Linked DNA regions of Canis lupus familiaris. The protein of the gene in region 2 interacts with the protein of the main gene of each other region in a pairwise test. Links are inferred from orthologs where the notes say so. Each region holds a gene or a part of one and is shown on either strand. Other genes may lie near its edges.

Region 1 (4,507 bases), on a different chromosome or scaffold from region 2:
TCTTATGATTTTAATAAGATTATACATGTACATCCACACATACTTTTCCTGATATCCATAATGCTCTAAAAAGAAGAAGCCTTTTCTACATCTACAATTACACTAATCTTGTATATACAAGGAGATATCTCATAATAACATATGGTTCAAGCCTCAGGATTTAAAAAATAATTATCATGTTTTTAGGTAAAATAAATATAGGCAAAAACATTCTTCAGGAATGTTTCTGCAAGTTTCCAATTTTTACTCATTGCATATCTGATACTTTCCAAAAGTATGTTTCCTTTACACTAAACCAAAGATGACACTTTTGGAGCTGATTAAGTAGCACAATTAATGTCAAACAATATCCCCAAAATGATTGAGCTTAAAATGCAAAATAAAAGCAATTGGGAGGATTATAGCAGTTAATCATTTTAGGCTTCCCTTTGAAGAACCATCTTCATTTAAAATAGAAAACAAATGCTCTTTTTACTGTTTAGTATTCATGTTGTTAGACTGAGTTTATTGCCTAGAATAGATGTTAGACCATAAATGTTACCTTCAGATTTTGTTCTTTCCTAATAGTATGGTCTAGGCAATATACATATTTAGCTCTTCTGAGTGTTTAATACAACTCCCTTTAGTATTCTATATATGATTTTGCTCAGCAGATTTGTGTTATTAAAATGTATATAATGGCATACAGAACATTCAGAAAATCCACAGAGGACTAAACAATCTTATTTATTGTTAACATTGAACCAGTCTATTTTGCATGTACCTTGCAGTATCTGTCACAAAAATGAGAAGGAGAAATTTTCGAATTTAAGAACTACCGATTTGATTAACCCATGCTTTTATTCAGACGGTGGAGAACTTATAAACCCTTCCTGCGTGAGATTGGGCTTCAAGCATTCAATAAAGCACATTTACTGTGTCCAAGATTAAATCATACATTGTTTAAAATTAATTATTCCTTTTTAATTGCATTGTATAAACAGAAATGACCTGTTAATTTAAAGAAAATCTATCAGCACAAAATGAATTCACTCATATAAACAAGCAAGATGAACTTGACCTTGTTTGAACTTGTTTTGATGTGGCCCAGATGGTAGGCTACATGCTTGAATAGCAGGCTAAAGCTGAGGAAAAACTCATATAGCAAGATCTAGATTTATAGCCTTTTGCAAATTCCTACCTTGTATTGTCCTTTCAGCATCTGTTCTGCTGCCACTGCGGTCAGCTTCTATCTCTGGGGTCAGAGAGTCTAAAAGCACAGAAAGGTAAGAGGGACACATATTTCATTTGATGCTTTTGTCCTTTAAAAAAAAGAGCAACCTGTTACTTTGGAGCTGAATTAAAATTACATAAATCTTTGTCATCTTTTAAAGGTTGAACAAAGACCAGAACCATAAGAATCATCAAAATATTTGAATAGATAAATAAGTAACGCCAAATTGTTCCTAACACGGGATGGAGCTGGGAAGTTCTCAGATTAATATTTTATCCTCTTTCAGTACAGACAGACCCAGTTATGCAGGAAAGCCGTGTCAGGTCCCAGATACTGGAGTGAAGTACAACAGGCCAGGTGAAAGCACCTGGGAAGTCAAGCAATTCCCCAACATGCGGGATCACTTCCCACCAGGCTTACAGTTTAAAGAATCACTAGGGATAAAGATGTATGTAAAACCACAAACACAATGTAATGAATCAACAGATATACGAATATATGTGAAACCACAAACACAGGTTTACATTGTCTTTTGAGTGCTAAAAAGTTAATGTCAGTGAGCCGTGCATGAAGATGCACCCTCTTACCATTTAAGACTCTGAGACTATCTGTCGAAGCTGCCTGTTTCAGCGTTTGTTCTGCTTGCTCACGCCGTTTTGTCTCAAATTCAAGTGCTTCCTGCAATTTTCTCTTTGCCTTCTTCTCCTTCTTTAGCCTCTTTTGAACTATGGCTAGAAAAGAGTGTTTGTATATTACATTTTTAAAAGTTTTTTGCAATGCCCTAACTTATCAATGATCTATGATTTTATATATATATATTTATATAAAAAAATATATATAAACATATATTTTTTTTTTCCTGCTGGACTGAGTCTACCTATGCAGAAGTTCCAAAAAAAAAAAAAAATCCCACCCTTATCTAAAATAAATCCCAGTGAAATATCCAAGGAGGCTAATTTTTATTTAGCCTTCAACCACTGTTATATTACAAAGATGCCTTTGATTGTCATATGTAGAGACAGATTTAAGGGGAAACTAATTTTAGTAAATATTTATATGCACTGATAAAGGAAGCCTGATTAAATGAATTTTGTGGGTTAGTCTCTGCCCTTGAATCAGAATGGTACATAATAGTTAGAATCATGCCAGCCTTTATAAGCATGCCTTCTATCTCTTTATGAAGCACCAATTTTGAATAGCAAATGGAGTATTTCCCCTGTAGTTGTTTTGCAAAACAGTTACATTGGTCCAGGTCTTAAGAATTTTTTTCTTGAAATTTTAAAAAAGGCAATAAATATTTTTGTATATGAGGAGCTAAATACTCTTAATTATCAACATAGAAGTAGTCTTTTGGGGGTGATGAAGCTATTGTAATTTGCTCAGAGATATCGATAATTTCTTCAAAGCAATTTTATATGCACTATAACATATTTCAAGAAAATCATGTTTTATTCTGCTTCAATCTGGTGGACTATAAAACCTCACTGATGATAATAATGTGCTATTGCTGACAATGATGTGGTATTTATATTTAAAAAAGTAGCTTATGACACAAAAAGTTAATTATGATACATTTTCTCCTACTGGACAATTTAAATATTTGTATATAGTATGTAACCAATAACTAGTAACAAATGTTCACAAAATGTATGGTTGACCATACTTTCAGTATGATAATTATTTTAGTTTTTACAATTTATATAAGGTAAGCAGCCAGTCTATGGAGAGCATGCAAATGTTTCTTTTTGGAATTTTTTTCTTCTGGTTGATAAACACTGTAGATGTGAATGTGACTGTGACAGAATCGGTATGAGAAAATCCTTTTAGAATTAGTCATAGGGAATAGTCATTCAGAGTTTACTACTTGATTTCTTACTACAACATTTTTATTTAATACAGTATTTAGTCAAAATATAAATCAAAGTAATAAAGATTCAAGTAAGAATTTGTTTCAGTTTCTGACTTTCATATGCCCCATTTTTATAATTATTAATACCATTAAGGTGGCAGACCATTAACTTGTTGAGTTTATTGTTGCCGGTAACATATATTAGCAGAGGCTGTTTTTTATCAAAACATACATTGGTTACAGTCTTGTAACAAAACAAAACTGGTTTTGAATAAATGCTAATTTCCTTTACTTAATATGAAAATCGTATGCTTATCTCAACAACATCATTTGCCTACTCTATCCCTTTCCAAAGATGATTGGTTATAAGTCTCTTTGAAAAGAAACAGTAATTTCTGAATTCCTTATTTGAATTGTTGTACTTCCATGGCACTAAAACTCAATACCTAGTCCCTTGCCATTGACTGCTTACTGTTTCCTGCTCCGCAATTGAACCTGGTATTGCCATATTCTCTCTTCAGGGTAATACACTGCTTCAATGGATACATTTATAATAGATAATTATTGATAGCTATTACCTTTAATTTATTGTTCACAATTAATTAAATGGGAAGTTCATGATGTGATCTGTGAAGTGTTTTGCCCTCTAGTGGTTAAAAAAAAAATTAATGTAAGTCCTCCAAAAGATTTGAACCAATAAAATTCTAAAGTTCTCTCAAGTAACCAAAAGATTACTTCAGGAATTCAAGGGTCTACTTTTATGTCTTGTCAAAAAACAAAAACAAAATTTCTCCAGGTGAGAACAAAATCAAGAATCAAGACATGGCTATCTCATTGAATTCTATTTAACAAACTCTTGGACAAATCTTCATTATTCACACAAAATACATCCCATTATCAGTGTTTATCTTGTTTTGATTACTATACTGCCTTAATCTATGTGAAACCACATTATATGCCATATATTGGTGGTGATGGCTTTTCTAAATCAGCCTCATCCCAGGAACCCACTAGCTGTTGCCTCATAGTAACTAATGAAAAAACCTACTACTGGTTTGAAAAACAAAGCAGAAACAATGATTTTCAAATGACTGTATCAAACATATAAAAGAACACCTGGGATATTTATATTGGATACTTATTAAATGAGGGAGTAGGTGCTCCCCCCTGGAGTACTTACGAGAATCTTATTGTTGAGGCAAAGGGAAAGTTGGTTGTAAAGGAAATACTCTTAATCTCACACATAATATAAACTCACAAATATGAATGACCTTCAAAATTATCTATACATGCACTGTAAAATGTGTTAGAAGAAGCAATTCATAGATTAGTGATATCATTGTTTTTACCCAATAAAAATTCATATTGGCTTCTACACTAATGTGTATTTGACCTTGTTGGATGAAAATGAGGCATCCAGAAAGAAAATTATACAAACACTCAAC
Region 2 (5,024 bases):
CTCCTCTGGGCATTAGGTCTATGTTGAGATCCATTTTGGTGGTTGGTTTTTAACCCAAACTCAGTGCATTTTTAAAATCGTTACAAATACAAGAAAAGGAGAACACTTGAACACACAGAAGGGAGATATGTGCCTAGTGTAGGTTCTGCAGTGGCGGCCAGAGTCCAGTCCACCAGTGGGCCATTTCCCATCGGGAACGTGAGACAGGGCAGAACCAGCCACGGTCCATTCTGCATGGTCACAATAGGGTCCCTGTGATCGCTCTTGTCTCGGGTCATCCTGTATCCCCTAGCATTTGTGCTTGTACTTGTGCTTATACGGCCACCCAGGAGATGGGCTGGGGGCTGCATCACTGCTCACGGACCCCTTGGAGGGACCCCGGCCTCCCTGGGGGCAGTGTGGGCACTCTGGCTTCCTCTGGGCTGCCTGGGGTCTCACCAGCAGGAGTGCGGGCGGGCAGGCCAGTCATCCCAGCACCTCAGCCCCGAGCCCCGGGAGCCCTGGTCTACATGTGCTTTCACTCCCTCAGCCTGCAAGGGTCAGATTTGCCATCAAAACAACGACCTCTACTGTTTTCTTTTGTATTTTGATAAACACTGAAGAAGCTGGAGCTGTTCAACTTTATCTTGGGGAAGTTCTCAGAACTGGTTTATTTGGTGTCGTGGAACCTCTTACTGCTTTCAATACACGATTAGTAATCAACTGTTTTGTATACTTGTTTTCAGTTTTCATTTCGACAAACAAGCACTGTAATTATAGCTACTAGAATAAAATCTCTTAACTATTTCATGGCTTTCCAGTGCTTGGGTGCCACTGACCCACACTTACCACTGTGCACAGAGGATGTCACTGGCTAGGGACCTACATGGTGTGGCTCACTGCTCCCTGTGTTAGGTGTGCATATGACCCAGCGCCCTCTCATCGTCCACCCGCTGACTGTTAGTGCAGCCCCTGGTCTATTCTGTGGGACTGGGACGTGGAGGGACAGCAGGGTCACCACACTGGGTGTGCCCGAGGCCTGCTCTTGTCCACGCCCATCCCTGCTAGCCAGCCTGCTCCTGAGGGGTAGGAAACCCCTGGCAGGGCTCCTAGTGGCTCTTTGGCTGGAGACCATCCCTCCCACCTGACTGGGCATGCTGGTCTGGTTCCTTCTCCTGGCTGGGGGCGCCCAGTCTGGCCCCCGCCCAAGATTGTTTATACCACTACCAGGTTGAAACACCAGGGCCAGGGTTATGAAGACAGAATCGTTTTTAGTTTGATGACTTAAAGCCAAAGATGCCAGTTTCACAATCATGAGTGCACCCTGGGTTTCATCCTCCCTGCAGGCAGGCTGTAATAGGAGGGTTTAATGACTAGGTGCTCACCTCCCAGGGGTGGGGCACACTGCTGGCTCCAGGTGCACGTCTGTGCCCTGGGGTTGGACATGGTAACCCAGGGAGAGCCCGCCCCCCCCCCCCCTCCCCGCCCTACCAGCAGGGTCTCAGGCTGGTCTTGCTGGAACTTTACTGGGACATGACAGCCACCTTCCCTCAAGGATGAGAGGCTTTCCCCTTAAAATAAGTTTATTTAAGTACAAAGTGAGTTGAAGAAAAATAGAAGTGTCTCGGGGCCTTCCCAGGCAAGTGTGTCCTCCCGGGGCAGGTCCCCTGCTGGACATGGGGGCCCCTTGTGATCTGGCCTCAGTCACTGTGGTGGCTGCGTCGCCTCTTGGAGCAGGGCAAGGAATCTTCAGAGTCAGAGCCGCACTGGTGGTGCCCCGGCCTGGGGATATGGGGACATGTGGTCAGGGGGAGGCTGCCCTGCTCCCCAGACCTTCCCTCTGCCCCGGCAAGGCTGAGCACACCTACCTTGCAGGAGCTGGAGACAGTGGAGAAGCCACCCTGCTCCTGTGTGCCTTGTCTTTCTTCTTCTCTTTCTTGTGCTTCTTCTTCCTCTTCTTCTTCTTCTTCTTCTCTTTCCTGCTCTTCCTGTGGCTCTCCAGGCTGCAGGGACGTGGGGTGGCGTCCCCTGTGCACTGTCCACACAGACACACCCCCCCCTCCCTGTGGCCAGTGGGTACAGCGGTCCTTCCTTCCCGTTGTGGCAGGAAACTGCCAGGAGCAGCAGAGGTAGGAAGGCGCCCTGCTTCCCCATCCAGGGAGGAAAAGCAGGGGTGGGAGTGCACCTTGCCTCCCCCTTGGGGGAGCCCAGCAGGTGGGCCTGGGACCAAGGGGTGGGAGCAGCCCTTACCCAGGCTGCACCTTCTCCTCCTCAAACCGAGGCTTCTTCCTAGCAGAGGTGGGGGAGGCCCCTGGGCGGCTGCTCTCCACGCGGTGGTGCTGGGGAGGGAAGGAGCAAGGAAGGAAGGCACTCTAGGGGGCTGTGGGGGGGCGTCCCAGTTTCGGCGCCCGCCCGATTCTGGGGTGCCCCGCCCGCAGAGGGGGGTTTACCGTGAACACCGACAGCCCCAGCTTGGCGGCCTCCTTGTCTTCCCGGGACAGTGCCACTCGGCCTGCAGAGCCGCTGCGGGAAGGCAGGCGAGGACCCCACGGTGAGAAGGCCCAGGCCTCCCTCGGCGGGGCGGTGCGTCCACCTGGGGAGGGCCCCTTCCACCCCCCAGCCACGCACCTGGAGCTCCCTAGGCCCAGCAGCCGGTCCACTCCCTTCTCCTCATGCTCCCCTCCTTCTCGCTTGCAGACCTCCACAAAGTCCTGTGCGGAGCCAGCGGGTCTCAGGCGGGGGTTCGCACAGACTCCGGGCGCCCCGCCCCCCGTGCGCCGCTCACCTCCTTGCTCAGGCCAGTGGGCTGCTTCCTCACGTTCTTGTAGCCTCTGTGGGGGCCGCGGGCGAGCTTCAGGCGGCGGCCGGAGTCCCTGGCCTTGCCCCTCGGACCCCGCCTCGCCCCCGGGCCCCCCGAGCTCCCCCGACCCCGCGGGGCCCACTCACAGCGCCGCCATGAGTGCCTCCTGCTCCGCCTGCCGCACGGCCGCCAGCTCCTCCTCCCGGCTCAGTCCCGCGCCGTCCGCCCGGCCCTTGGCGTACCAAGTGAGGTCTCGGCCCTTCTGCCAGCGGCCCACGGGGGCCATCAGCGAGTTGCCTGCGGGGACGCAGCGCGACTGCTCGGCCCGCTGGTCGCCGCTCCCCGCCTTCCCACGCCCGCAGCCCCCCTTTCCCGCACCTCGCGCCCTCTCCTTCCCCGCCCCCGCGCCCCCGGCTGCCCACACCGAGAACCTCGCAACCCCGCTTTCCCGCACCTGCGGCACCGCGCACGGCAGCTCGGGCGTCCTCCCCCGCCCCCCCGCCCCCGCCCCCCCCGCCCCCGGGCCCGGCGCCGCACTGACCCAGGTAGTTCTCTCTCTGTTTGTCGGTCTTCACGTCCTCCCAGCTGAACTGGTCCTGCCCGCCACGCACGCCGCCCCGGCTGGAGCCGAACATGGTGCCAGGCCGCCCGCCGCCCCTGCCTCCGTCAACCCTGGCCTGGCCGCCCCGGGCGGCGCCGGCGCCGGGGTCCCGCCGCCGCGTCGCGCGCCTTGACGTCACACTCGCGCATACCCGGGCAGCGCCGCAAGCGCCTGCGCATTGCTCCCCGGCCCCGCCGCCCCGCCTGCCCCCAGCGCTAGGCGCACCGCCCGGGAAGGGAGCGGGCGTAGGCGCCAAGGCGGGTCCCGAGGATCCTGCCGGCGTTGGGAGCCACATTGTGCGGGCGACGGTCCTGGGGCTGTGCCGGGAGATGGGCGAGCGGGTGGGGCCGCAGTGCCGGGAGCGGGCACCGGGGGCGGCTCGGCTCCGGAGAAGCGGGACACGGCCTGCAACTCCCGGGGCCGTCCCCTGGAGACCCCAGCGTGGAGGGCAGGCGGGACGGCGCAGGTGCGCCAATGCACGGGCTCCTCTGGCGCCGCGGGGGGCGGCTGTGCTGGGCAAAGCAGGATCAGCTCCGAGCCCTGGACACGGGGGAGCAGCGGCATGGACAGTGTGTGAAGCCCCCCACGTGGGCGGCGGCGAGGTCCTGCGGAGCGGGGGTCGGGGGCCCACACACAGGAACACCTGGTGCAGATGGGACCTCCACTGACCAGAGCGCTGCAGACGGGCCTGGGCCTTCCGTCCACTTCACCGTGTCACCCGCTGTGGTGAAGAGCCTGCCACCTCCGGCCCCCTTCAGAAGCTAAGCAGGTGCCCGTGCGTTAGTGGAGGTCTTGCCAGGCCCACCAGCAGCAATCTCAGTAGGTGGTTTCTGCCAGAACCCCCTGCCTGGGGCGGGGGGGGGCCCTCTTAGTGATTTCCGTCACCAGCACCCACCCTGCCTTGTGGCTACAAGTCCCACTTGTCCCTGCCCCGCTCACCCTCTGCTCTGCTGTTGACCCCTGCATCGTTGCTGTGACCCCACTTCAAGGGAAGGGCAGACAATGCCGTTGGATGTTCCCAGGACCCTGCGCGTGGCCAGGAAACTCAGTGGACCACCAGGGACTTAGGAGTCCAAAGGTGGGTGCTTAATGCAGCACCCTTCGCCAGGAGCCCAGACACAGCCCCCTCCCATAGAACGTGGGCACCTTCCCCACCTTTTGTATCAGTGCCCTACGGTGGGCACTCACTCAGGTTTCCAAGAGTCCTGACAGCCCAGGCCAGGGCAAGAGGCAGGCCTGGGCCAGGCCAGCGACAAGTGGAAATGTTGGGACTTGGCCTTTTGGTCTTGCAGAAGCCTGGCCAGGCTGAAACCCACCACTGGAGCAGAAGAATGGCAGCCGACCACAGGTTTGTTGTAGTCACAGGGGCCACAAGCCCAGCTGAAGGCACCTCCCTTTGTGGGCCAGTCCACTGACAGCCCGTACCAGCATCCCTGACACCCTGCTCCTCCCACTCTCTTCTTGAGGGCCCCTGGCCCCTGAGGCTGCAGCTGGTCAGGGAGTGAGGGGCTCCAGGGCCCTCTCCTTCCTCCTCCCACACGGGCACTCCCTTCAGACCTCGTCTGAACACCACAGCCTGACCCAATCCTTAGCCACCTAGCCCACTGGGTCGCAGAGAGCTCACAACAGACTCGAGCGTGCGGG
Region 3 (4,386 bases), on a different chromosome or scaffold from region 2:
CCTGAAAATACGCTCATTCAGAGACCCAGTGCCCACCCAGACCCCCTCCCAGTGGGCTCCAGCATCCCCACGGGCCGTTGGTCAGCGTGCTTGTCTGCTGTCCTGTCCCCAGGCTGCTGAAAATTGGTGGCAGAGCACAACCCCAAGTCCTGTTGAGGCTGAAGGGTTTCGTGAAGTGAAGGGAGTGAGGATGAAAACTGCCACAGCCACACACACACACACACACACACACACACACACACACAGCCACTGGCAGATGAGGGTCTGACAGGAGAAAGGCCACCAGGAAGGGGACACGTGGGGCCTGGGGTGTTTCCCCACAATAACCCCCCATAGTCATGCTGTGAAATACAAACTTCGAAGCAAAGAAAGTCCCATGGTGTATACTTCCCTTGTCAGCCTTTGACTGAATTTCTCTTCGTTCCAATAATGAGGACGTGAGTGCATTTCACTGAAATGTTGATACAAATATGACAGGTGGATTCATTTTTATAGCTAAAAGTTTTATTTTTAACTTTTTATTTTTCAATAATCATGAACTCCTGGGAAGCCACAAAGACAGTATAGAGAAGGGCACAGAAAGCTGTACCCTCCAGCGAGTGTTCCTAATGGTTATGCAGGAAGTGGCTGCAGAACCACAGGATAAGGAAAACGGGCATTTTACGTTGGTACAGTGAGCGTCTGTAGTCCTGTGTCACTTTGTCACCTGTATAGATAGACTCATGTAAGTACCAGTGCAACCAAGGCACGAACTGTTTCGTCCCCACAAAGGTCTCCCCCAGGCCGGCCCTTCGTGGTCATGCCCACTCTCTCCCCCTGACCATCCCTAACCCCCTGGCCACCACTAGTCTGTTCTCTGCCTCCATGATTTTGTTTCAGAATGTTATATAAATGGAATCCTACTGCGTGTAGCCTTTTCAGATTGGCTTTTTCCACTCAGCATAATGCCCTTGAAACCTTTCCAGGTTATTCACTGTATTAATAGCTCATCTCATTTTATTTGCTTATTTGTTTGTTTTTATTTCATTTTATTTTAATTCCAGTATAGTTAACTTTCAGTGTTATATTAGTTTTAGGTGTATAATACAGTGATTTAACAATTCCATACATCACCTGCATCCTTAATCCCCATCAATGCCCCCCCCCACCCCCCGCTCCCTTAGTTCATCCCCTTGCATTGCTAAGTAGCAGTCCGTGGTATGGACATCCCAAAGACTTTTGAATCCATTGAGAGTCATTTTAGTTTTTTCCAGTTTGGGGCTGTTACAAAGTAAGTTACTATGGATATTTTTGTATAGTTCTTTTGTACAGACATAAGTTTTCATTTCTCTGGGATAAATGTCCAAGAGTACAGTTGCTAGGTTGTATGATAAATGCATGTTTGAATCTTGAAAAGAAACTGCCAAACTATTTTAAGAGTGGCTCTGCTGCTTTATTTTCTTGCCAGCGACACTCTTCCAGTTTCTTCCCATCTTTGCCAGCTTCTCACTAACGTTCACTGTTATGATAAGTGTGTCATGATGTCTCATCAGGGTCTTAATTTGCATTTCCCTCACGGCTAGTGATGTTCAATGTCCTTCCATGTGCTGTTTACCAGCTATGATTTTTTTCAGTAAAATGCTCTTCGTATGTTTTGTTCATTTTCTCAATGGATAGTTTGTTTTTCTTTTCTTTCTTTTTAAAAAATATTTTATTTATTTATTCATGAGAGACACAGACACAGGCAGAGGGAGCAGGGAGCCTGATGTGGGACTTGATACCAGGACCCTGGGATCACGCCCTGACCCAAAGCAGACGCTCAACCACTGAGCCACCCAGGTGTCCCTCCTTTGTCTTTTCATATAAAGTTTAGATTAACCTTGCCTACATCTACAAGACATCTTGTAAAGATTTGGATAGAAATGGCATTGAATCTTTATGTCAATTTGGGGCAATTGATGGCTTTATTATGTTCTTCTAATTCATGAATAGAAAATTCCTTTCCATTTATTTAAATATTTTTTGATATCTTTAATCAGCCACTTTTTTGTTTTTGTTTTCAGTATGCAAGTCCTACATATGTTTTGTACACCTACTCCTATGTTTTATTTTTGAGTAATTATAGTTGGTAGTGTACTTTTAATTTCAGTTTCCATGTGTATGCTGTTAGTGTATAAAAAGTACAGTTGATTTTTGTGTGTTGATCTTGTATCCTGTGACCTTGCTGAAGTCACTTAGTTTTAAGAGTTTATTTGTAGATTCCTGGGAATATCCTAGTAAATCATCCTATCATCTGCAAATAGGGACCATTTTATTTCTTTTACAGTCTGTATGCCTTTTATTTCCTTTTCTTACTTTATTGCTCTGGGTAGTTATTCCAGTACCACATTTAAGAGTAGTGGTGAGAGTGACATCCTGACTTGTTCTGGGCTTTACGGGGAAAGCACTCGTTTTTATACTTTTTGCTTACATTTTTTTTCAAGACAAAACAAATCAAGTCCTTTTTCCCCCTAATTGCTTGCTATTTGCTGTGAAATTTTATTTTTAATTGGATTTCGAAGGGGTCTTCTCCTGACACCAAAATGAGGGTTTCTTTTCTGTATACCCATTCTCTTTCCCCTCATTTTCCTGGCTGTTTTTCAGGGGGTATAGGCTTTGATGCCTCCTAGTGGCTTCACGGAGCCATGCACCCTAACAGGCCCTGAGAGAGGAGTGTGATCTGGGGATGGGAGAGGGCCCAGGGACCACTGCATCCTTCTTTCCCCATCCTTATGAGACCCCTGGTGTCTGCAGATGGTGGGCTCTGGCCTGTCACTGGGCCAGCTGGTGGCACCGCTGTCTGGAAACAGCCTTGGCACACGGCGAGCAGAGATCAAGCCTGGGGTGCGCGAGATCTACCTGTGCAAAGATGAGCATGGCAAGACGGGGCTACGGCTGAGGGCCATTGACCAGGTAGGGCTGAGGACTGGGCAGGAGAGGAGGGGGCATCTCCCACACGTATTGCCCACCAGCCTGGGAGGGGGGCTGCGGGCCCTGTCCACAGTAAGGAAGGTGCGGAGCAAGCAGGGGAGCCAAGGCTTACCCAGCCTCAAGCGGAGGCTCTTCTTCTCAACCTCCCTCCCCTAAGGCCCCAGGGTCAGTGCTGGGTTCTAGAATGGACCTTCCACTTGTGCCTCCTGGGCTCCTACCATTCGGGGTCTCTCTTCCTCCCTCTCCTCCATCAGAGGGATCTGGCTTCCAGGCAGCTCAGCTGTCTGCAGAAGGTGGAAGCCGGCGGGACCAGTGCCGTCGTAAGAAGCCATGCAGTCCAGGGGCTGGGGCTGCAGCCTCCAGCCAGGGTTGAGATCTTACCCAGCTGCTCCCTGGCTATGTGGCCTGGAGTATTTTGTCCCCAGGAAAATGGAGTGACCGCTGTCCTGCCAGCTCCTAGACGATCAGGAGGCAAACAGCAGCCGGAGGGACCTGGGCTCCGAGTGATGTGATGGGGAGCTGACCACAGGGCCCTGCCTCCTCCAGGGGCTCTTTGTGCAGCTGGTGAAGGCCAACAGCCCCGCGTCTCTTGTGGGGCTGCGCTTTGGGGATCAGATCCTGCAGATTGACGGCCGAGACTGTGCCGGGTGGAGCACGGACCGAGCGCACCGGGTGCTGAAGAGGGCATCGGCAGAGAAGATCGCCATGGTCGTTCGGGACAGGTGAGTGGCCAGGCCCCCGGTGCCTCCCTGTCTGGCCCCAGGCACGTCTAGGCCCGGCTCACGGTCTCTCCCGCCAGGCCGTTCCAGCGCACTGTCACCATGCACAAGGACAGCACGGGCCACGTCGGCTTTGTCATCAAGAAAGGCGCGGTGGTCTCTGTGGTCAGAGGGAGTTCCGCGGCCCGCAACGGGCTCCTCACCAAGCAGTCCGTGTGCGAGGTGAACGGACAGAATGTGGTCGGGCTGAAGGTAGGTGCGCTCGGCCGCGGAGCTCAGGCGCTGAGAGGCGGGCAGGCCGCCGTGCCCCTGAGGCTCGGATCCCCGCGCTCTGGTTGCTGTGGGCTAAGCCGAGGGAGGTGGAGCTCTGAGCTCAGCGCCCAGCACCCGAGCGCGGGGCAGTGCTCAGGGAGCAGGAGGCCGAGGAGAGCGGGGCAGGCGGTGCGTCCAGGCAGGGGGTGCGTCAGGACAGGGCGCCCGGGAGGGGGCTGCTGCTTGCATGGATACCTGCCCCCTCCACGGCACTTCTGTTTGCATAACTGGCTCACATTCCATAATAGGAACATCTTGGAAAATGGCTGTTCAGAGACACACTTCTTCTTTTTTTTTTTTTTTTAGATTTTTAAAAAAGATTTCATTTATTTATTCACGAGAGAGAGAGAGAGGCAGAGACACAGGCAGAGGGAGAAGTAGGCTCCATGCAGGGAGCCTGACGTGG
Region 4 (4,507 bases), on a different chromosome or scaffold from region 2:
GGTGCTGAGCCCAGAACAGCTTTTGGGAATCTCCCTCCTCCCACCCTGTACTCTCTCCTACACGTACACACCCTCAACTTACCAACAAGGTTCCTGGGCACTTGCACAGAGTCCTCAGAAAACTCAAGGTAGCTTCGGGCCTGTCGACACGCCTCAGGAGTCTACAGGGAGAGGAGTAGGGAGTTGTTACCCAGACACTCATTTTCCTGCCACTCTCTGCCTTTGGGAAAGTGCACTGCCACCAAAGTCAAGGAGGGAGATCCACAGGATTCAGATTTCTTTTTCATCACACACTCTCCTCTCTCGACCCCCAAGGGACCTAAAGAGCAGCTGTCTTTTGCTGACCTCCCCATAGATGCGGAAAGTGCAGGTCTCTTCACCCAACTCAATGGCAGTAACCCCAGGTACTTTTCGGGCCTGCTGGATGTTGGCACCATGAGTCCCAATTGCCAGTCCCATCAGGTCCTCTCGCACCGTGAACTCCTCCTGGAAGGCCGCCGCCAACTGCTTACTTGTCTGAAATGAAAAGGCACAGTGGGGTTTGTGGCAGCGGAACCCCAGACACCTGTCCCGGGTCCCTAACACTCTGCAGGACTTAAGCAGACAAAAATATGTGAAAGCAAGCCAGAACCACCTTGGATCCACAGACCCCTGGGACCTGTATGGAGAATTCAGGAACCAGCCATTCCACTCCTACCTGGCGAACACCAATGGCTTGGGGTGGGGGTGAGGGAGGTAAACGAGGGCAGGGTTTGGGCTGGGAGCCACCACAGTTCAGGATTTGGCTCTGACACTATCTGGTTATGTGACGCTAAACACAACACACCCTCGGGGCACCTGGGTGGCTTAGCGGTTGAGCCTTCAACTCAGGGCGTGATTCTGGGGTCCTAGCATTAAGTCCCACATGGGGCTCCCTGCAGGGAGCCTGCTTCTCCCCCAGCCTGTGTCTCTGGTTCTCTCTCTGCGTCTCTCATGAATAAATAAGTAAAATCTTTAAAAAAAAAAAAAAAAAAAAAAAACACAATACACTCAGTGTCTCTGTTCTGTCATCTGCTGAACTGTTCCACCTGACTCATCCCACTCCCAGACTATCAGAAGGATTAATTAAGGCTGGTGTGAAAGGCTCTTTCACAAGGTAAATGTAAGAGTAAGGAACAATTACTCTGACCAAACTAATATCAACTCCCAAAATAAAACCCAAAAAACTGAGTAGAAAGCAAGAGGCTGAGAAAGCATATAAAGAGCTATGGAAACCACACTACCACTTCCTCTCTCCATCAGTCCTCAGATACCTGGGCACAAGGGCAGAAAGACATGGAAGGTTCTGGAAGAGGAAGTCCTAGGTAGAAGCACCAAACAGGAAAGCTATTTGAAAGGGGTCATTCCTGATCCCAGTCCACTACATCCTACTTCCAAGATGGGTGGGACTGTATTATGGCAAGGACTTACCTCAGGCAAGAAGGGGATGGACAAAAAGGGACCACGCTGGGTATTCAAAATAACTGCATTAGGGAGGAAAGGAGAGGCTCTACGATGATTTACAAATGTTCTCTAGAAGTTTGCCAAGAGTTTTATTCTTAAACTGCCTGACGGGTACAAGTGTACCTAATATACTATGTTTTTCCTTTATGCAGACAATTATTTCAAGATAATTTAATAAACAAAACAGAAAAAAAGAAGAAAAACAAGATCTCTCAAAAACAAGACTACATGTACGGCCAACTTAACTATCTTTTTCAAAGACTATTTATTTGAGAGAAAGAAAAAGTGAGGGCGGAAAGGAAAAGAAAGAATCTTGAGCAGGCTCTGTGCTGAGCACGGAGTCCCAACTCAGGGCTCGATCTCACAACCCTGAGATCGTGACCTGAGCCAAAATCAAGAGTTGGACACTCAACCAACTGAGCCACCCAGGCGCCCCATATCTGGCACTCTTTACCACACTGATCAATACAACCAGGTCCTAAGAAGAGTTGAAGTCTACCTTTTGTCACCAGGGAATCTGCTCGTTGGGAACTTGAGCAGACATAATTTGTATCATCTGGGGGTAATGGTGAAGTTCTGCCAGTGCCCTGAGTAGCATCCCTGGAGAAGTGACAGACCACTATGATTCACAATGTGCACAGGCTCGGAGAAAAGCCTACCAAAAAGATCAGTTCTATTGATAAACGGAATGGATGTGCACACACACACTATTTGTATAGGATGGTATGGCACCTAAGCAAAGGGAATCTGACCATCCTAAGATATCAGAACTCAAAAAGACCTTGTTGAAATATTTTAGTCTAAACACCTCATTGTCACACAGATAAAGCTCAGTGAAATCAAATGATTTGCCAAAGGTCAATATTTGACAGTGGTCCTTCCAGAATACAAATGGTTCTCAAATAGACCCTGCAAAGCCGTTTGATTCCCAGAGGTGATCTGGGGGAGGCCAGTGGAGGTCCGGGTCACACTCCCTTCTTCTACTTAGGCAGAGCTTCTCTGATCTGTTTTAGGCATTGTGTTTTCAAGTAAAACTTCACTTGATCAAAGGGTCCCATGGTTAAGAAAAAAATGAAAACAACTGTACTATTATAACATGATGAAGCTCTGCCATCTGGAGGAGTCTGGGAAAAAATAGCAGACCCAGGTTTAATGGCCCAGAAAGACCTTAGTCTTTTTGTTCTGTAAACACAAGAGCATGGGGGGAGGATGGGATGGGAAGGCAGGATGATAACAATACCATTCAGCAGTATGAAGTGAGGCCTAAACTTACTTCCAGGTGCTTGGTAGCCTCCTCATTGCGGGACATGAGCAGGAGTTTGGTGCGCAGGCTTCGAAAATGCATGTCACCCAGTAGAGACGCCCGCTTCACAGGGGCTTCTGTAGTTGACTGGGAAGAAACCAATGGACAAAATCATTGAAACTGACTTTGAATACACAACGGGGAAGACCCAGGACTGGGAACCAGGATGCCTCAGTCTCTGGAAAAGGACAGGAGTTAAGAAATGAAATGAGAGAAGAGAAAAATCACTATCAGTTTCACAAGGGCCTACTATTATCAGGGTACCTAAGAGAAGTGATTTTAGGCAGAGGGAGGGGTGAGAATCGTATAGTCTATTTTTTCAGAGCCCAAATATGCAAGGGAAGGTCCAGACTGCAAAAGGATGGCCAGGCTTAAAAAAAAAAAAAAACTTAAGGTCATACGTGAGGGAAGACTCAGGAAACATGGCCTGGGCCCGCAGGGGTCAGGAGCCATACAAAAAGTCTTCTTTGACAAATAAACAGAAGCACATCTGAGCCCCTTCCTTTCTGCAAAGGAGTTAAAAGGGGAGGAAAAAAAAAAAATCACTGAGAGGGTTTACGTTTTAAGTCAGGTCAAATAACTCACCAGAATGAAGAGCTCACTATTTGTGATGTTGAGAAAGATGCAGTTCGCTCCCAACGCTTTCTTGAACTCTTTATGGACATTTTCATTGGAGCAGCTGCCAAGGAAGAGAATAGTGCTCAGTGGGCACAGTGTGCAGTTCAGAGGTTCAGAGAGATGGGGATGACAAAAATGAGATGAGGAAGGATGGGGGAGGACGAGGAAGACTGACAGTACAAGAAGGGCCTGGGAGGGATCCCTGGGTGGCTCAGTGGTTTGGCACCTGCCTTTGGCCCAGGGCACAGTCCTGGAGCCCCGGGATCAAGTCCCACATCGGGCTCCCGGCATGGAGCCTGCTCCTCCCTCTGCCTGTGTCTCTGCCTCTCTCTCTCCCCACCCCATAAATAAATAAATAAATCTTTAAAAACAAATAAACAAAAATAAGAGGGGCCTGGGAGAAAGGTGGGCCAACAGGAGGACTGTCAACGGAGCCCCCATCCCGATGTCCCTGACTCACGCCTCTCTCAGATCCTCAGGCACAGCCATGGTAACCTTGAAGAAGCTGCCTTTGGTTGCAAGGGGATTGGGATTAACTGGCCGGAGCCGTTCCAGGGTGACAATCTCATTGTAAGTGGCATCACAGGCAGCGTATTCGATGACGTAGAACTGGCAGAAAGGAAGAAACAAGTGTGGATGACCTGAGCGTCTGTCCCCCCCCTTTTCTGTGACTATGGTCCGTGCTTCCCATCACTCACATCTCCCTTCATCATCCGCACCCGGGCCAGCCACCAGCCGCAAGGTTCCTGCTCATTGGCTCGAGAATAAACCTGGAGCCGAAAATAAAGAGATACTGAGGCCCAGCTAAAAACATCACGAACGAAAAAAAATTAAAAAATGAAAACATCATGAACGCAACTTTCAGACCCTGGGAAGCACATTATACCACAACAAAGGAGACACGAGGAAGGAGCTAATTAAAAGCCCAGAGGGTGCTGTCACCATAACGGGAAAGTAACTCCCCTGAAACTGGGAAGCTCCCTGAGTTTGATCACAACAGGGAAAGGGAGCTGGTGCACTTCTCTCTTCCACAGCCTACTGGGCTGGGTTTCAGAGGGAGGAGAGTGAACCAACCAGAGGAGAGCCTGGGATACTGGTCTCAGG
Region 5 (5,307 bases), on a different chromosome or scaffold from region 2:
TCCCCCAGATATATTTCTAGCTAACTCTTACCCATTCCAAATTTTGGCTCAGTAGTCTCTACTAAGCCTGTCCTATCCTTTGTATTTAAAATTGCAACCTCCTCACCCCCACATAGCCCCTTTCACCTTTTAACATGTCATATGGTTTTATGTTCTTTGTCTGCCCCCTCCAACCTCCACTAGACTATTACCTCCGTGAAGGCAGAAATCTTTGTCTTGTTCATTTATGTATCTCAAGTCCCTAGAACTGTGCATAGAACATAGCAAATGCTGAGTAAATATCTGCTGAATCAGCTGATGAGTCAATTTCAGTGAACTCTTAGTTAAAATATACTTTTCAGTTCACAAGCAGCTATCACACTTTTTTTTAAAGATTTTATTTTATTTGTTCATTAGAGGCAGAGAGAGAGAGAGGCAGAGACATAGGCAGAGAGAGATGCAGGCTCCCCTCAGGAAGCTTGATGGATCTCTGAACTCCAGGATCATGCCCTGAGACAAAAGCAGAGCTTAACTGCTGAGCCATCCAGGCATCCCTATCACATTCTCATCCTTATTGCATGCACAGTAAACCACAGAAGAAATTTCTGTCTATCCCTGGAAATGCTAATAAACTATTATTTTAGTATTTGGTGAAAGGATATGGCTCTGAAATTCCTCAAGTTTTCTGGGCCCAGTTGATTTAACAAACATTTTCTAGATACTTAATGCCAGACACTGCAAGCTGCTGGGGTTACAAGGCTAAGACAAAGTCCTCCTCAACAGGGCCTCAGTCCATGAAGTGGGACAACCATACAGTAACGTATGGTTCATATACAGAGAGGTTAAACGCAAAGTTTTCGTTGGAACAAGAGAGGTGCCTAAGTTGAGAGGCTTAAGAAAAAGAGGATAGAGAAAGCATGTTAGAAAACATAACACCTGAGCCACATCTTGAAGGTGGACAGGTCAGTGAGAGGCATTTCAGCCTAAGGGCAAACAGGCTATTTATGGAAGCCAGGAGAATGCCTGCCCTGTGTGAAACATGATGGTAGGAAAGAGTTAAAGACAAGTGGATGGAGAATACAGTGAAAAGGTAGAAGTAGCCGGTCCTCAAGGGCTTTATGACACTATCGAGTAGAGGCAGCTTTTGAAGATGTGAACAGGTGTATGACAATTACCTTCTGTGGAGGATAGACTGGAGAGGCAAAACGAGACCTCGGACAGTCAGAGGCTGTTGCATGGTTAAGAGAACGCGAGAGGGCCTGATCAAGAACAACGAGGAGAGGAGGGATGGATTTAACAAGTATTTACTTACTTTATAAACTTATCCTGGTCATCAAACAGATGTAGAGAGTGGGAAAGAAATCTAAGGTTTCCGGTTTAAGCAACTGAACACATAATTCACAGAGGATAATCGAAGGCAGAAAAATTTACATAAGAAATAGAAGACCATTAGGAAATCAGAGCGTTTTATTGAACTCAAGCAGCAGGGTGTTAAGGAGGAGGAGGGCGGAGGATGGAACCCTGGGGAACCACGAGGACTGAGGCGGGGGTAGGCAGAAAGAGTACAATAGAGCCGTGGAATTCGTCACCAGCCTGCGCTGCAGACTCGCAGGCCCCGACCTGCAGACGGGAGGGCACGCCGCCGGAGGCAAGCGGACGGACCCACCCGCGCAGCTCGCGATCCCACCCGGCACCTGCGGGGCACTACCGCTACGCCCTCCGGCGGGAGCGAGTGTCCGCTCGCACTGCCACAGTTCAGGCGCCTGCGCCCTCAGAGCCTTGTGACACCTGCAGGGCAGGTAATGAATGGGATGAAGCCTGGCGATGTGGGCAAGGGTCCACAGAGTTTCACAGATCATATTCCATCTGTGGCTGCCCTTTGAGAGAAACGGGAAGAGCTACCCAAAGGCCTCACCCTCATACCTGCCCTCCTCTACGCCACCACACCCAAAGACCCCGCTGCTCTCCACCCCGCATCGTCCCAGATAAACTAACACACGGGGCCAAGCAGGTGGCGGAGTCTAGCCCCGCGCTCACGGTTCCGTCCCCTCCCCTCGCCTCTCCGCTACTCCCAAAACACTTCCTCTCCCTCTTCCGGAAGCTCGGAGGCCCCACCCACTACCGCAACGCCTGGCCTTAGCCAATGGCCTGCTTCCCAAGGAACGTTACCTCTGACCTCGGGGCTCATCAGACAGTGGGACAAACTCCTCGCGAGAGGTGAGGTTGAAGCTGCCTCCGCCATCTTGGAGATGGGAGACGGGCGATGGCTGTGGTCCTTCTGCTAATGCAAACAACAAAACGGGCACAGTAGTCAATGCGGGGGAGCTTATCATCACAGAAACTGTTGACCAAAGCTACAGAAGGAGTGAGGGTGTCAAAGCGCAGCGCAGCGGCATCGATAGCCGCTTCTCCTGCTTGCGGGAGCGGCAGAAGTGAAGTGAGTGGAGGCCGGAAGGATGGTGCAGTCCTGTTCCGCCTACGGCTGCAAGAACCGGTACGATAAGGATAAGCCCGTTTCTTTCCACAAGTAAGTACCCCGCGCGTCTCGCGGGGCTGGCCCAGCTCGGGCTGGGGGCGAGCGGCCGGTTAGGCTCGGGGGCGGGGCCAGCTTGCGTGCGCGCGAGCCCGGATGAGGGGCGGGGTGGGGCAGGGGCGGGGCCAGCGCGTGTGCGCGCGAGCCCTGATAAGTGGGGCGGGGCGGGGCGGGGCGGGGCGGGGCGGGGCGGGGCCAGCGGGTGTGCGCGCGAGCCTCGACGAGGGGCCGGGGCAGGCCGGTCCTCCTCGCGGTCCCTAGTCCCCCGTCCCCCGTCCCCCGTCCGCCGGGCGGCGGGTGTACCCGCCTGGGTCGGAGCTCTCGTGCTGCCGCCTCCGGCTGCGCGTGGCTGCCATGGCCGTTTCTTGCGCTCGAGAGTCGGAATCCACGCTCGGGGTTCGTCCGCCGCCTGCCGTGGACGTGTCGGCGCCCCAGGAGCGGCGTCCGTGGGCGCCGCGCGAGCCTCTGCTCGGGGTAAGAGGGCAGCGAGGGCGTAGTAGCGCCTCCTGAGTCAGTACGGAGCCGAGACAGAGGCTGTGAACGTGACGGAGCCGCTCTTTTCCCAGCCTTGGCGTGCCTGGGAGGCCAGCTTCACAGCAGCTCAGGCTTTCGGGGAGGACGTGTGCACTCAGTGCCTAGGGGCCCACCTCGGGGCACCTCTGGCTGTTGGAGGGAGCCTCTGGGACGGCCAGGACCTCAGTTGGCGCGCAGCGATGGGGTCCCAGGTCCGCACAGCTGGCTCGCCCCCGAGGAAGCCCACAGGTCCCGGGGCCGTGATGGCTTTGGCGGCTAGAGAGGCCTGTGGGAGAAACGACCTCGTGATCATCGGATGTCTGCAAAGTGGGACTCGATGGCATTTTCATTCCGCCAAATAAAGTGTTTACAGACTTTACGTTATTATAAATATGATTATTTACATTATTATTACCAAACCGATGGCAAATTATAGCAATTATACGTAAGTAAATCATTACAAAAGCAAAATTTAAGTATTCCGTCAGTTTTTTTGGTGGGGTCGTGTGTAACAGGGGATGTGGGTGCATTTTATGCTTAGTAGAAGAGGGACCCAGGGAAATGAGTGCCTTACCACGCAGATCTGAGTGTTGATTGATGGACCACCACCACCATCCCCATCCTGCCCTCCACCTGCAGGACGACTGAGAGCACCTAACACTCCAGGATCTACTTCAGTATATCCTGAGATCACTTCTTTATTTGTTGGAATTTCTGAAAGCTGATGAATTGACTTCCAGTTCTTTGAAAGTGTAGGAATAGATCAGAAGACGGTGACACTGTTATGTTACAGCCAGCTCTGCACAACCCCGTTTCTAATCAAAGAATCTAAAAATGTGGAAAACCCTTCATTGGTACTAGAAACTAAGGATGGCGTTCACACATCAGAAATAGTTTCTGCTGGCTGTCAAATGATTGGGTCAAAGGAGGAGCTGATCTGCCTCTCCTTCTTACCTATAAAGAACAATTTTTTGGAAATAGATGGGAATTATTCTCACAGAACTCCATCATGAACAGCCTGATCATTGTAGTGTGTAAGACAGGAGGCCCAAGGGGCTGAATTTTACTGGTGATGGCTACCATCTGTTGTATTTCTGGAGGCCATTTCCAGCAGAGATCTTCTACCACTTTCTACATGGTGGCCCAGTGGCAGCAGCTGTTCTGGGCAAAGAAAAGAACTGTCCCAAAGATTGGTTAGTTCTTCATGATAGCAGAGTCCAGCTCTGGCATACCTTATGTAGAAGAGAAGCTAGAACATGGAGTTGAAGCATCCTTTGGCTTTCCAGTTTCCCCATTTCACTAGATACTTGACTTGGAAAAGTAAAATCACAGTAAATATAAACCCTTTCTAAGCCCACTTTTCTGGGCCAGATGGACATATTCCAGTTGATTTCGAGGTAAAATAAGATCAATAATATTCTTATGCTGGAATTAAAAACAAATCAGAAGACTAAAATAAATTAAAACTTTTATTTTTTTAAATTAAAAAAATTGGGCAGCCCCGGTGGCTCAGTGGTTTAGTGCCGCCTTCAGTCTGGGACGTGATTTGGAGACCTGGGATCGAGTCCCACGTTGGGCTCCCCACATGGAGCCTGCTTCTCGCTCTGCCTGTGTCTCTGCCTCTGTGTCTCTTGTGAATAAGTAAATTAAAATCTTTTTAAAAAATAAATTTAAAAAATTTTAATTTATCTATTCACGAAAGGCAGAGACCTATAGGCAGAGGGGTAAGGGGGCTCCCTGCAGGGAGCCCAATGCAGGACTAGATCCCAAGGACCCCAGGATCACAACCTGAGCTGAAGGCAGATAGATGCTCAACCACTGAGCCACCCAGGTGCCCCAGTAAATAAAAACTTAAAAATTAAAAAACAAATAAGAACTTCCCAAACCTGAGGAGAGACTTGGGCATCCAAGTTCATGAAACTAATCAACCACCCCCTTTCAATTCCAAACATATATAAATAAATGAATACATGAAAATTTAAATTTATCATTATGATTTGACTATAATTCGATTAATTCATATTTGTCAAATTGATCCTAAGAGAACTAGAACCTTCTTTTTCTGCAGTATGTAGATATAAACATATAATTTTATTTTCATTGATTAAAAAAAATCAGTACAGATTTACCCTATAGTATATATTTTACTTGAAACTCTTAGTATCTTTGACATAAAAAGTTAAACATTAATAAATGAGACAGAGAAGCTATATGATTACCCTTGTATATTTATTTTTTAAAAAAGATTTTATTTATTTATGTCTGAGAATACACAGAGAGGA
Region 6 (4,507 bases), on a different chromosome or scaffold from region 2:
GGCTCCGGGAGCCCAGGCTGGGGCTGCGGGAGCCGGAGCTGCTGCTAGCGCGGGTCCTGCTCCGGCTGCGGCTGCGGCTGCGGCTCCGGCTGCGGCTGCGGCTGCGGCTGCGGCTCCGGCTGCGGCTCCGGGTGTAGCTGCGGCTGGCAGAGCGGCTGCTGCTGCTGCTGTACCAGGAGGAGGTGCTGCTGAGGCTGCTGGATGATGAGGGGCTGGGCCGGTAGTAGGGGATGGGGCGTTTCCGGGCACTGCGGAGACCAGAGGGAGCGCGCTGGACGGACCAGACCGCCCAGCCTCCCCCCGAGCGCGCCCGCCGTCCCCAGGGGAAGCGGACTCCTTCCTCCATCCCAGGCTCTTGGGGAAAACACCCTTTTGCGCGCTCCTCCTGCTGTCCTGAGACCATCTAGTGCTGGTGTCTCGAGAAGTGACAGCTCTCACTTGAGAGCCAAGCAAGCCTGAGGCTGGGAGTCTCCAGCTGGCAACCGAATCTACATCTAGACTTTAATTGCACGTTTTGTTTATCTCTTTTTACTTTTACTGGAACCTTCTATTTATGGTAAGAGAGGCTGATCTTCCATTTGCTATGGTATACTGTGGTGCATTCCTTTTGCATTAAATGTATGGACCTCTAAGAAAGAACATATCTGTGTAAAGAAAGGTCAACAACAGTAGCTTACTAAACAGGTAAGTGCAAAGTGCTCGGATGCCGCTGGATGCCTAAAGTTTGGGAAACACTGAATGGCTCATCAGGATGGATTATCTGAGGTTGACTCAGGAGACGAGAGCCTTTTAGAAATGCCAGTTTATCTCAGCCTTCTTCTAAGTCCACCCCAATGGCACCTGTGGTCCATGCTGTGGGAGTAGGACTCCCTTCGTGTGTGCCGTGCTGTTCTATGGGATATCCGAGAAGGTGATGCCATTGCCCCCATTCTTATTGTTTGGAGTCACAAGTGCTTTTCCCTCCTCCAGGTCATCTCTAGGGAGGAGGCCCAGGGCAGCCAGGACATCGAAGCTCCATTCCTGTGAGTCCCTGGATGGAATGGCTGACCCTTGGAGGGCCAGGAGGAGCTGATTGTCCGGAGCCAATTTCAGGACAGCACTCAGCCATTCTTCCTGCTTTCAAGGCCTAAAACTATGTGTCCATTCAGACCTCAGGTTTTTTTTGTAGGGCTTTTCTTATCTAAGACCTTAACTGTTAGAGGCAACCTGATCCACCTAATCTGACCATTCAATCTGTAACAATGACACAGCGAGGGTTCTAGTGTTTTGCATTTCAGTTTACAAAGTGTGTTCCCATCTCTTTGCCCCCCCTTTTTTTTCATCTTCATGATACACACTCCTGAAGGAAATATTCATGGATGAGAACTGAGAATCTGGGAGGTGAAGAGACTTCTCCAGCTTACCAGGAAAGTGGCACAGCCGGGTTCCACTCCAGATCCAGTGCTCTCCCCCTGGCCCACCGAGGCTCCCTCTAAATTCCTTTGGCACCTAAAGATCCTTCTTGCCCTCTCCACACTTGGTGCCAGCTATGATCAGGGCCTATTAAAGCCTGGCATGTGGTCTGACCGTGATCCGTCTTCGCTGGCCGGCTCCACCCCCAGGAAAAGACCGGTCCCGCTGCTTTGCCCCCTTCGCCCGGGATGCGACCTCGCAGCCCTCTCCGCAGACCCCGGCCACACCCCCTCCTCAGGCTGTCCCCACCCCTGTCCCGGGGCACCCATCCTAGCCCCGCCCCGAGGCCCTGACCTCTCCTGTCAGGCCTCGCAAATTGCCTGAGCTCCCACAATCCTGAAATCCAGCTCCACGGGGTGCAGGGGAGATCCCGAGGCCCCGACGGGTGGGAGGGGTGGGAGTGAGGGTGAAGGTGGGCACCCCGGCCCTCCTGGCCTCACCTGGTTATCCTCCGCGCCTCCAGGTGGCTCGGGGAGTCTCTCCGGCGCTTGCGCATGGGCGAGTAGGACCGCCGTCTCCGACGTGCTCGCTCGCGCTCCCGCTGCTGCGAGTCCTTCTCATTGTACTTGGGGTCCCGCTCCCTGAAGGGGTGCGGGGGTCACTGGGGAGCCGGGGCTGGCTTTTCCGCATGAGCCAGGGGCACTCACTTCCTCTTCCCTGCGCCCCGCACCTCATTGCAGCAGGTGCTGGGTTCCTCCCGGGGCCCCAGGGAACGCGGTGGGGAGTAGGACAGGGCTCTGGTTCAGTATTGTGGGGAGACCAGGCGTGGGCGCGGGTGTCGGCCTTCGAGGGTGGGCGTTACAGGGGCCTAGGTGCTGCGGGGTTAGGATGTGGCGGTCCAGAGGGCCCTGGTGCATGCGTAACAACTGCGGCTCTGAATAACGGGGATCAAGGGTAATATTAGGTGCGTGAAGAGGCTGAGGGCCGGGGATGCGAATTCTGGGGTGTGGCTGGCTGTACTTTCCAGGGGGGCCGTTAGAACCCCAGGATATGTTACACGTCTCCACTCCAGCCGAGACCAAAGAAACTACGAGGATGCTGGGTGGTCTCCCCATCCCTACTCCCTCAAGGCTGGACAAAGGGGGAGCTGGGGCGGGGCTTGGGTGACGCTGCGCAGAGGCCGGGGGGAGGGGCCGCGAAGGCGGAGCCCGGGCTTGGGGGCGGGGCTGTACCTGCCGGGGCTGTACCGCGAGTAGCTGGGGCTGCGGCGCGATCGCGAGCTTCTGCTCGGCGGGCTCCTCTTGCCAGACTTGGAGGAGTAGCTGGAAGAGCGCGAGTAGGACCTGCGGGACACGGTAAACAGTCCCCGAGGGCCTGCTGGGCTTCGCCGGGGCCGTGCCGGGGTCGTCCCGCAGGGGTAGGGTTGTATGCGGCTGGTCCCCCGAGGGCGACTTTGACTTTCTGGACGCCAGACCCAGGAATCTGGCCCTTTCCTGAGAATGAAATTCCCTCTCTTTTGGGCGACTAATAATAATATTGGTAACTCCTCCTTACTGAGTTCTTACCATCTAAGGCCACTTACTAGTTATGTGACTTTGGACAGGTGATCTCACCTCTCTGAGCCTCTGTTTTCTCATCTATAAAATGGGGATAAATAATCATACTTTCCCTATACAGTTGTAAATTCAATGAGTAAATCACTTACATACCTCACATAGGCAGCACACAGGAAAGGTTAGCTATGACTGTTAGGCTGTTAGGTATTTCATTGAATTAATGCTTTGTGTGCATTATCTCATTGAATCCTCAACACATTGTAGGGCGAGGTACTATTATCAATCTCATTCCACAGATTGGGAAACAAAGACACTGAGAGGTGAATGTTTTCATTTTGCAGATAAGGAAACTGAGGCTCAGAGAGGTTATCTGAGCCACCAGCTAGGAATGGGTACAGTGGGCATTCAAACTCATCTGTCTGACCTCCCCCCCCGCCCCCCACCAGGGCCAAAGGACATTTCCAGTTACCATAACTAGCTCCCTAAGGAGGAAAGCTCTGCAGATCAGAGGCCAAAACTGCACTCACCTTTTTCCAGAGGAGGTGGATCGGCTTCGGGTGTACCTGGGGGAGACTCTGGGGTTTGGGGATCGGGAGGAGTGGCTGGAAGAGCGGGTGCTGGCATAAGAAGGGCTGCGGGAGCAACCTCTCATAGGGGAGCTCCGGGCTGTGGATGGGACCAAACCAGACTTCTTCACCTCTGCACATTCCAGGCATGGCGACTGAAATCCTCTGCAGATGTGGGGAGAACTCCTGTCAGCACTGGCTTGCCTGCCGATCTGGAGGCATCTGCTGATACTCCTCTGCCTACCTTTGCCTAGGCTGTGGTACTCTCAGAAACCCCTTTCCACCTATTCCCATCTTACTGCCTCTGGAAAGACTTTCCAGAGCACAGATGTTAGAGGAATAGGAACAGAGGGGAACACATTCCACAAGGGCACTTCAGAGGATTTTAGGTCAGTGGGCATAATGGTAAATAACACCAAATCACATAGACATTTATTTCCTTTGGAGTCTTTTTTAATCCTGGTTACATTAATGAGAATGGGTTGGGTAGTAGTGGGTTTTCCACTATCTCTGTAATACTGGCAGTCACCCAGACATGGTGCTCAGAGCCTTGGGAAGGCAACTGTTGCTAACTAGAATTAAATACACTGTCTTTATGTATTTTCATATATAAATCATGTATTTTGCAAATGCTTTCTATTTAGGACAAGTGCTACAAATTTTCTATGTAAGGTAGTAATGTAAGTTTCCTTATATAAAAAAGTGAGTTTATTAAAATAATATCAGTAGTATAGGGATGTGATTAAAATCAACAAGGGGCCATACAGGTGGTTCAAGTTTGGGAAGCTTTGATGTAGCCCATTTTGCAGATGGGGGAATTGGGACCCAAAAAGAGTGAACGGTTGTTCAAAATCACCCAATGACAGGATCCTGTCCTCTGTATTCCCACCCTGCTTAGAGCCATGTGAAGCTCACGTTGAGTTCTCAGTAAGGACCTGTTCATTTGGTTTGAGCCAAGAGTCAAGTTCCAATCATGTTAATATGGTTTCCAGG

Evidence for each region.
Region 1: the proteins of C14H1orf35 (region 2) and DACH1 interact in binary tests that used the Homo sapiens proteins (3 or more experiments, as listed by UniProt). The two-hybrid records come from large-scale screens. The link is inferred for Canis lupus familiaris from reciprocal best matches to the Homo sapiens genes C1orf35 and DACH1.
Region 3: the proteins of C14H1orf35 (region 2) and SDCBP2 interact in binary tests that used the Homo sapiens proteins (3 or more experiments, as listed by UniProt). The two-hybrid records come from large-scale screens. The link is inferred for Canis lupus familiaris from reciprocal best matches to the Homo sapiens genes C1orf35 and SDCBP2.
Region 4: the proteins of C14H1orf35 (region 2) and FXR2 interact in binary tests that used the Homo sapiens proteins (3 or more experiments, as listed by UniProt). The two-hybrid records come from large-scale screens. The link is inferred for Canis lupus familiaris from reciprocal best matches to the Homo sapiens genes C1orf35 and FXR2.
Region 5: the proteins of C14H1orf35 (region 2) and THAP1 interact in binary tests that used the Homo sapiens proteins (3 or more experiments, as listed by UniProt). The two-hybrid records come from large-scale screens. The link is inferred for Canis lupus familiaris from reciprocal best matches to the Homo sapiens genes C1orf35 and THAP1.
Region 6: the proteins of C14H1orf35 (region 2) and SRRM4 interact in binary tests that used the Homo sapiens proteins (3 or more experiments, as listed by UniProt). The link is inferred for Canis lupus familiaris from reciprocal best matches to the Homo sapiens genes C1orf35 and SRRM4.

What each region holds. Positions count from the first base shown.
Region 1 is NC_049243.1:25,836,927-25,841,433, forward strand, and holds part of DACH1 (dachshund homolog 1), read right to left. Parts: intron 1,945-4,507; coding exon 1,801-1,944; intron 1,250-1,800; coding exon 1,181-1,249; intron 1-1,180. UniProt on the Homo sapiens protein: Transcription factor that is involved in regulation of organogenesis. Seems to be a regulator of SIX1, SIX6 and probably SIX5.
Region 2 is NC_049235.1:507,986-513,009, reverse strand, and holds C14H1orf35 (multiple myeloma tumor-associated protein 2), read right to left. Parts: upstream 3,509-5,024; 5' UTR 3,415-3,508; coding exon 3,321-3,414; intron 3,077-3,320; coding exon 2,926-3,076; intron 2,811-2,925; coding exon 2,765-2,810; intron 2,691-2,764; coding exon 2,608-2,690; intron 2,503-2,607; coding exon of another isoform or gene 2,430-2,502; intron 2,319-2,429; coding exon 2,230-2,318; intron 1,983-2,229; coding exon 1,848-1,982; intron 1,762-1,847; coding exon 1,481-1,761; 3' UTR 1,231-1,480; downstream 1-1,230.
Region 3 is NC_049245.1:20,193,696-20,198,081, forward strand, and holds part of SDCBP2 (syntenin-2), read left to right. Parts: intron 1-2,772; coding exon 2,773-2,931; intron 2,932-3,495; coding exon 3,496-3,671; intron 3,672-3,748; coding exon 3,749-3,920; intron 3,921-4,386.
Region 4 is NC_049226.1:32,722,584-32,727,090, forward strand, and holds part of FXR2 (fragile X mental retardation syndrome-related protein 2), read right to left. Parts: intron 4,174-4,507; coding exon 4,102-4,173; intron 4,013-4,101; coding exon 3,864-4,012; intron 3,465-3,863; coding exon 3,371-3,464; intron 2,873-3,370; coding exon 2,756-2,872; intron 517-2,755; coding exon 346-516; intron 162-345; coding exon 83-161; intron 1-82. UniProt on the Homo sapiens protein: mRNA-binding protein that acts as a regulator of mRNAs translation and/or stability, and which is required for adult hippocampal neurogenesis. Specifically binds to AU-rich elements (AREs) in the 3'-UTR of target mRNAs.
Region 5 is NC_049237.1:23,673,684-23,678,990, forward strand, and holds the start of THAP1 (THAP domain-containing protein 1), read left to right. Parts: upstream 1-1,759; 5' UTR 1,760-2,435; coding exon 2,436-2,506; exon of another isoform or gene 2,507-2,591; intron 2,592-2,730; exon of another isoform or gene 2,731-2,986; intron 2,987-2,992; exon of another isoform or gene 2,993-3,417; coding exon of another isoform or gene 3,418-3,470; intron 3,471-5,307. UniProt on the Homo sapiens protein: DNA-binding transcription regulator that regulates endothelial cell proliferation and G1/S cell-cycle progression.
Region 6 is NC_049247.1:15,661,193-15,665,699, reverse strand, and holds part of SRRM4 (serine/arginine repetitive matrix protein 4), read right to left. Parts: intron 3,680-4,507; coding exon 3,476-3,679; intron 2,736-3,475; coding exon 2,625-2,735; intron 2,034-2,624; coding exon 1,893-2,033; intron 249-1,892; coding exon 1-248. UniProt on the Homo sapiens protein: Splicing factor specifically required for neural cell differentiation.